2 linked regions of the Mus musculus genome follow. The protein of the gene in region 1 interacts with the protein of each later gene in a biochemical or structural test. Links are inferred from orthologs where the notes say so. Each region holds a gene or a part of one and is shown on either strand. Other genes may lie near its edges.

The links.
Region 2: the proteins of Tjp2 (region 1) and Ocln form a complex in vitro, tested with the Homo sapiens proteins (3 studies listed by BioGRID). The link is inferred for Mus musculus from reciprocal best matches to the Homo sapiens genes TJP2 and OCLN.

Annotation. Positions count from the first base shown.
Region 1 is NC_000085.6:24,109,831-24,114,075, forward strand, and holds part of Tjp2 (tight junction protein ZO-2), read right to left. Parts: intron 3,127-4,245; coding exon 2,916-3,126; intron 1,790-2,915; coding exon 1,596-1,789; intron 1,287-1,595; coding exon 1,191-1,286; intron 1-1,190. UniProt on the Homo sapiens protein: Plays a role in tight junctions and adherens junctions. Acts as a positive regulator of RANKL-induced osteoclast differentiation, potentially via mediating downstream transcriptional activity.
Region 2 is NC_000079.6:100,497,848-100,500,949, forward strand, and holds part of Ocln (occludin), read right to left. Parts: intron 1,069-3,102; coding exon 967-1,068; 3' UTR 1-966. UniProt on the Homo sapiens protein: May play a role in the formation and regulation of the tight junction (TJ) paracellular permeability barrier.

The DNA of each region.
Region 1 (4,245 bases):
TAAGTAATGTTGCTAGAAAGCAGGTGACAACCACATGCCCCAGGCTAACATCAGCACAGTGGGACAAATAACACTGGGCACCAGCTCATGGCACTCGGAGAGATGAAACCATGTGTGCATTCCTCTGTGTGTGTGTGTGTGTGTGTATACACAAGAGTGTTCACATGTGTGTTTAAGTGCTTGTGTGCATGTGTTTTACACATCAAACACCAAGGTTTTACTCATATGAGGCAAATGCCATACCACTGAGCTACAACCTCAGCCCTATTAAGTGGAAACTAATCAGAAGAAATTGTTAGGTCGACCTAACAGCAGGGAGTACCTTGTTGATCTCTTCTGGAAATATAAAAGTCCCTAAAGAGTCATAAATATTAACTGTAATGGATGAGCCTGAACTTAAAAAAAGAAAAGAAAATGTTCGGGACCAGAAACGCTACCAGTTTTTAATTATTTATAATTTAAAATATCTACAAAAAAAGGAGACCCATACCTAAATATAAGATTCATTCATGGTTTAGCTAATCATGGTTGTATATTCCTGTTACATCAGCACTTGTGAGATGATGTCAGAAAGATCAGAAATGCAAAGTCATCCTCGGCTACACAGTAATTTCAGGGCCAGCCTGGGCTTATCTGAGGGACCCTGCTCCCTCCCCACACCTCCCAAAAATATTTCTGTCATCTTTCTCTCATATACACAGACTGAGGTAATTTTACAGAGCATCTTTAGTACACCTGCATTAGACACTTATCACTTGTATGGGAGCAAGCATGAAATTTTCCCTTTGTGCTGTATCATGTTGACGCTCAAAATGTTCCAGTTTTAGAATGTTTCAGATTAGCAACATTCAACTATAACACTAATATGAAATCTCTTTGTTACTGAAGGGACAGTGGTATTTTCAATATGTAAAAGAATATTATATTATGAGGAGACTCACGGGTATACTCTCGAATGAAGTCTCAGAGCTCTGCAATTTAAACTCTGGACTGGCTCAGCAAACAGTTTCAAAAGCTGGGGCTGTGTGTCTGTCTGTGAGCAAGCGGTGGAGAGAAAGTATATCTATCTGACAACATGATACAGTGACTCCAGGCAGGGTGTGTGGATATTCCTTATTCTTCCAACTTCTGTGTGCCAGAGAACTGCCAAATTAAACACTCCGGGAGCAAAATTCTATGAACACTCTTACTTGCAGTTTGAAACAGGTCTGGTAACTCAGTTGCCAACCTTTCCATTGCTATATCTGCTATGGGGCCAAACAGAACCACGGGTCTCTTGAAGCCAGCTGAAAGGAAAAACAGGAAGTTATCAGATGTGCACCTACAGTGTCCAGATGAGAGGCAAATGCCCTGTGTACACTTCTGCAATCTCGGCATTAGAAACTGACCTCTCCCACCTCGCCTGGACTCCACTGCTTTCCCAAAAGACAAGCCTTCGCTGCCCTCCCCACTCAGGTTCCCCGTGGGACATGATCCCCTCAGACACCTCTGGTGTAAGTGACTTAGGTGAAGTTGGAACTGAGTGATTACAGAGACACTGGCGGGAGCGGCTCAGAGCTCAGCAGCTCACTCCCGGGCCCATGCAGCTGCCTCACCTTCCCGAAGCAGAACCTTCTCGTAGGCAGGGAACTTGGTGCTAACCGATACAGCAGCCGCCAGGTCTTCCCGGCTCTTGCGGAGGTTCTTCTTGACGCCGCCGCTGGATCTCTGGCCACGCATCCGCCAGAAGTCTGCTCTGTCCCCGGCGTTCTCTCGCTGGGCATTCTGGACACTGGCCATTTGCTCGGCTCTGAGAGAGGAAGCCGGAAGAAGTCATTCTCCACAGCATGGGAACAGGTTATTACTAAGACGCAGTCACTGTCACGCGAGAACCCAGGGCAGGGCTGGAGGGTTGGCGCAGGGGTTAAGAGCACTGACTGCTCTTCCAGAGGTACTGAGTCAATTCCCAGCAACCATATGGTGACTCACAGCCATCCATACTGTGATCTGATGCCCTCTTCTGGCATACAGGGATATATTCAGATAAGAGTACATATATAGGGGCTGGAGAGATGGCTCAGTGGTTAAGAGCACTGACTGCTCTTCTGAAGGTCCTGAGTTCAAATCCCAGCAACCACATGGTAGCTCACAACCATCCATAAGGAGATCTGATGCCCTCTTCTGGTGTGTCTGAAGACAGCTACAGTGTACTTATATATAATAATAAATAAATCTTAAAAAGAAAAAAAAAGAGTACATATATATAAATAAAAACAAAAACAAAAACAAAAAAACCAGTGCAGACACAGATTGACAATGGGGACAATAAAGGGGACAGTGGAGCCAGAAAACATTGTGTGTGAGCATCACTGTCAACCTGACAGGATTTCTAGAAAGGGAAACCCACCCTGAATAGACGGCATCTTCCCAGGGGCTGAGGTCCACACTGACCACAAGGGAGGAAGCGAGCTGAGGCCCAGCATCCCCATTGGCCCTCCTCAGGTGTCTTATCAAAGGGACAGGGTCTCTGAACTCCACAAGCAGTAACTCCGTACAGAGCGTGCCATGTTTGGCTCATGTGCTGTGTGATATAAATGTATGTAACAAACAGATCACCATTCTTAAGTCCTACAGCCACACCAGCAAGTGTTCCCTAGGGTGTACAAGCCTCTCCTAAAGATGGAGACCAGGAGTGGCAAGGGACTAGGGCCACACAGTGTTTCCCATAACCAAGGCAGCAGGCTCTCCTCAAATAAGCCAAGGGTGGCAACCAAGCCTGCTGTGCTCAAAACTAAAGAGGTGCTGGCTCTATTTCCATAAACACCTAATGGTGGCCAATGATGAGGTCCCGTGGGATTGATTTCCTCAGAGGCAGCTCTGTTGCTTTCTGGTGAACAGGGGATTAAAAGGAATGCTTAGGAAGTCGGCTCAGTTACCTGCTTTTGTTAGGGATCAAGCCTTTCTCCAGCTCATTCCCGATCCTCACGGCCAGCCAGTGGCCCAGCTTGCCATCGTACAGCGTGTCTACCACTCGGAAGACCTCTCCCCTGGTGAAGGCCAGGCTCTGGGGAGTTTCCTTCTCACATTCAAAGTGGCTTCTTATGAAAAACGAATCTCCCCTGCCACAAGCCAGGATATCTCTGTACACTGGAGAATAAAAGTAACGTTGGCTGTGCTCAACTGAAGAGCACCCCTTCAGGGTTCCCCCATTCTAGTGCATTATGGGAATGGTGGAATCACGCTCCACTGGGAGGAAGAAGCACTAACTTCCTGAAGTGCTGCGATGGCGGATTTTATGTGTCAACCTGGCTGTGTATGGGGGAGCCTATACAATCGATTAAACATTAGACTAGGCCTTTCTCAGAGGACATGGCGGGTGTGTGAGAAATGAGATTACCATTCAAACGGAAAGACTGAACAAAGTAAATTGTTCCTCAACGATTAGTTGAAAACTTGAGTAGAATATTCTGTGAAGCCACAGGGAATTACTGTTCCCACCCCAAGGCCTTCCATCTGCCTTCCTCCTGAGTTCTTACTGTCTCTACACCTCCAGTTCTCCTAGTAGTTAGGCCTTCAGGCTAAACCCAAAATTGAGTCTTCCGTTCTGCTAGGTGTGTCCCATGTGGGACTTGTCAACCCGCACATTCTCTTCAACCAAGTCCTTAACAATGTGTCTTTGACTCTTACAGCTTCTGTTTCCATGATGACCTCTGCCTAATACAGTTGCTCATCAAACTTCCCATACAAACAGGAAGGGACTATTTTTGCCCCCCCCCCCCCTTCAGAGGAGAGGACCCAGAAAGGTGAAGCAACTTGTGAGGCTGGTGAGAGGAGCCAATAGCACCCATCATACAGAGACTCTCTAACAACCCCATCAGCACTGAGGGTGCACGCTGCTCAGAGAAGCAGTTTAACTCCAAATGACCCAGAACCAGCAAAGCTATCTCGGTAGTTGGAAGGAAAAAAAAGTTGGGGGGAGGGGGGAGGGTTCTAGACAGGGTTTTTCTGTGTAGCTCTGGCTGTCCTGGAACTCACTCTGTAGACCAGGCTGGCCTCGAACTCAGAAATCTGCCTGCCTCTGCCTCCCAAGTGCTGGGATTAAAGGCGTGTGCCACCACAGCCGGCAGAAAATATTTTCATACAAAATGAACAGTACCTAAATTTTCTCCACACACCACTGACCCAATGTTGTGTATTCTGGTCCCAAGATATCCCGCTCATCCTTCCCACTTCCCTCAAATAAAACAGATCACCAAACTTGCTCAC
Region 2 (3,102 bases), on another chromosome or scaffold:
TTGTAAATGTAATTGGATACTCTGATACAATGGAAAGGTCTAGTGGGTTATCAAAAAAAAAAAAAAAAAGCATGTAAACTATACAAGATAAAAAGCACTTTAACCCTGGATTTAAAATCATCTTTCAAACGTAAATATATATTTACAATTCTTAAATTTCACATACTTGTTAATTTTATATGATCTTAAGTGTTAGGAAAAAATGTAAAGCCAAAAATAATCCTATTCATTTGTTAAAAGTCAATATAAGAAAAACAGTGGTGGGGAACGTGGCCGATATAATGTATCGTATTTCCCCTGAAATACAAAGGCAGGAATGCTGTCATTTGCAGTCATAAAACAGACTTAGCCAAAACTGCCTTAGCAGTTTCAGTTTGGAGAAGTCACCGCAGGAAAAGTGATGATACCGGTCCACGACGTTAACTCCTGAACCAGCACTCAGAGAAGCTGTGTGAGTTCAAGGCCAGCCTGGTCTACAGCGTAAGTTCTAGGTCAGCCAGGGCTACACAGAGAAACCCTGTCTGGAAAACCAAAAACAACCTGATTCTAAATAACAGTCACCTGAGGGCTGCTGCAAAGATTGATTAGACGGTCTACCTGGAGGAACACACTGCCTGGCGTGTGAACCTTCACATCAAAGCTCAACACACATCACAGCTCACACCAGGACCTTTCTTGACATTTAAAATATCAAGCAACATTTTAATTCTTAATACAAGAATCAATGTTGAAACTGTAAAATCCTTAATTGGAGTGTTCAGCCCAGTCAATTATCAAAAGCCATTTATAAAATGCTTCAATACTGGAGATAGGAAACTGATGGAATTAAAGCCACGGAAACTTTGTAATGATCACAAAGTTTTAACTTCCCAGATTAGAGTCCAAAGTCAGTTTGCCTCTGGAGAGAATTGCAGAGACATCGTGCAGGCAGATGCACCTCTCCCTTCTCCCGCAACTGGCATCTCTCTAAGGTTTCCGTCTGTCATAATCTCCCACCATCCTCTTGATGTGCGATAATTTGCTCTTCAACTGCTTGCAGTAATTCCTCTTACTTTTATAATCTGCAGACTGAGACAGAGAGAGTAAATCACATAAATGCCAACACACTAAAGAATGAGACTCTAGCTGGGCAGTGGTGGCACACGCCTTTAATCCCAGCACTCGGGAGGCAGAGGCAGGTGGATTTCTGAGTTCGATGCCAGCCTGGTCTACAGAGTGAGTTCCAGGACAACCAGGTCTTTACAGAGAAACCCTGTCTCGAAAAAACAAAAAAATTTAAAAATGAAATAAAACTCTAGAAGTGTCACTGGATATATTAACTACACTCATGGCAGAACCCAATGCAAAACTCCATGGTTTTTTGTTTTGTATTGTTTGTGGGCTTTTTGTTTGGGTGTTTTGTTTTGTTTTGTTTTGTTTTAACATACTGGGTTTTTGTTTCTGATTTTCCTTTAAAAAAAAAAAAGGAATGATTTATTTATTTTATGTATATAAGTACACGGTAGCTCTCTTCAGACACACCAGAAGAGGGCATCGGTTTCTATTACAGATGTTTTTGAGCCATCATGTGGTTGCTGGGAATTGAACTCCAGACTTACTGGAAGAGCAGCCAGTGTTCTTAACCTCTGAGCCATCTCCCCAGCCTCTTCCTTTTTTCTAAAGTGTGTTTTAGAGAAAGAGAACACACCAAGTTGGGTGAGTGAATACAGAGGTAGGGAGGATCTGGGAGGAGTTGGAGAGAGGGGAAAACATCAAAATTATATGAAAAAAATTTAAATTAAAAAAATGGGCCTCCTGAGAAAGCAAGGATAAACAAAACAAAACAAAAAAAGGAAAGACTAGTCATAAAGAAGTAATGAGTACTAAATGAGTATCTTTAAGGTACTGAGCACTATCACTGACCACACAGGCAGATGGTTTAAGGTACTGAGCACTATCACTGACCACACAGGCAGATGGTTTAAGGTACTGAGCACTATCACTGACCACACAGGCAGATGGTTTAAGGTACTGAGCACTATCACTGACCACACAGGCAGATGGTTTAAGGTACTGAGCACTATCACTGACCACATAGGCAGATGGCCCTTTTTCCTCAATAATATCTTTTAAACTGATTTTTTACAAAGGATATGTTTATTTCTAAAAAATATGTTAAGTCACTATGAGAATTCACTGACCTTTGTGTTTATAAATTATCTTTTAAAAAAAAAAATTTCAGGGGCTACTAGTAAGATGGCTCAGGAGATAAATGCGCCAGCTGCAGAGCTCTGAGATCTGGGTTCCATCCCCAGAATCCACACGGTGGAAAGAGAATGGACTCCTGCAAGTGTCCTTTGAAGTCCACCCCTGTGCCATGGTACACATGCTCCTCCACGCATCCATACATACATGCAAACTTCATACATACACACAGTAAGTAAGAAGACTTCATACATGCACACAGTAAGTACATACATACATGCAAACTTCATACATACACACAGTAAGTACATACATACATAAATGCAAACTTCATACATACACACAGTAAGTAAGTAGAGGGTGCTGGCTCCCCTGGGCAACAAACTCAGGTCCTCTGCCCCATATACTCCTTTAAACTCATTTAAAGGGTTAGGGAGGGGCTTTGATGCAAAGGGCCTATTACTGAAAGCAGGAGGACTGGGTTCGATATCCAGCACACACATAAGAAGCCAGGTGTGATGCCTGTACCTGTAATTCCAGCCCTGGAGGGAGGAGCACTGTCGGGTAAGGAGCACTGGGGGGAGGAGATAGGAGGATCTTGGGCCACTCAATCTAGCAAAAATAGTAAAGCAAGCTCCAGATTCAACAGAAGAGCCTATCTCAAAAAATAAAGTAGGAAACACACACACATACACACACACACACCTTAGTTAAAATCATTATGCTCTGTAATTACAATAAAAACTTTTAGCATTAAGTATTTTGAAAACAAAAAGTGTTACAAGACAACAGTGCCTGTAATATCAAGTGTTAGCAAGGACAAAGTAAGATTCTCAGTGAAGGTGTGAACTAGTGTAAGCTCCTGGGAAGGCTGTATGACAGAATCTACTGAAGCCACACATACACAGAGACAGACAC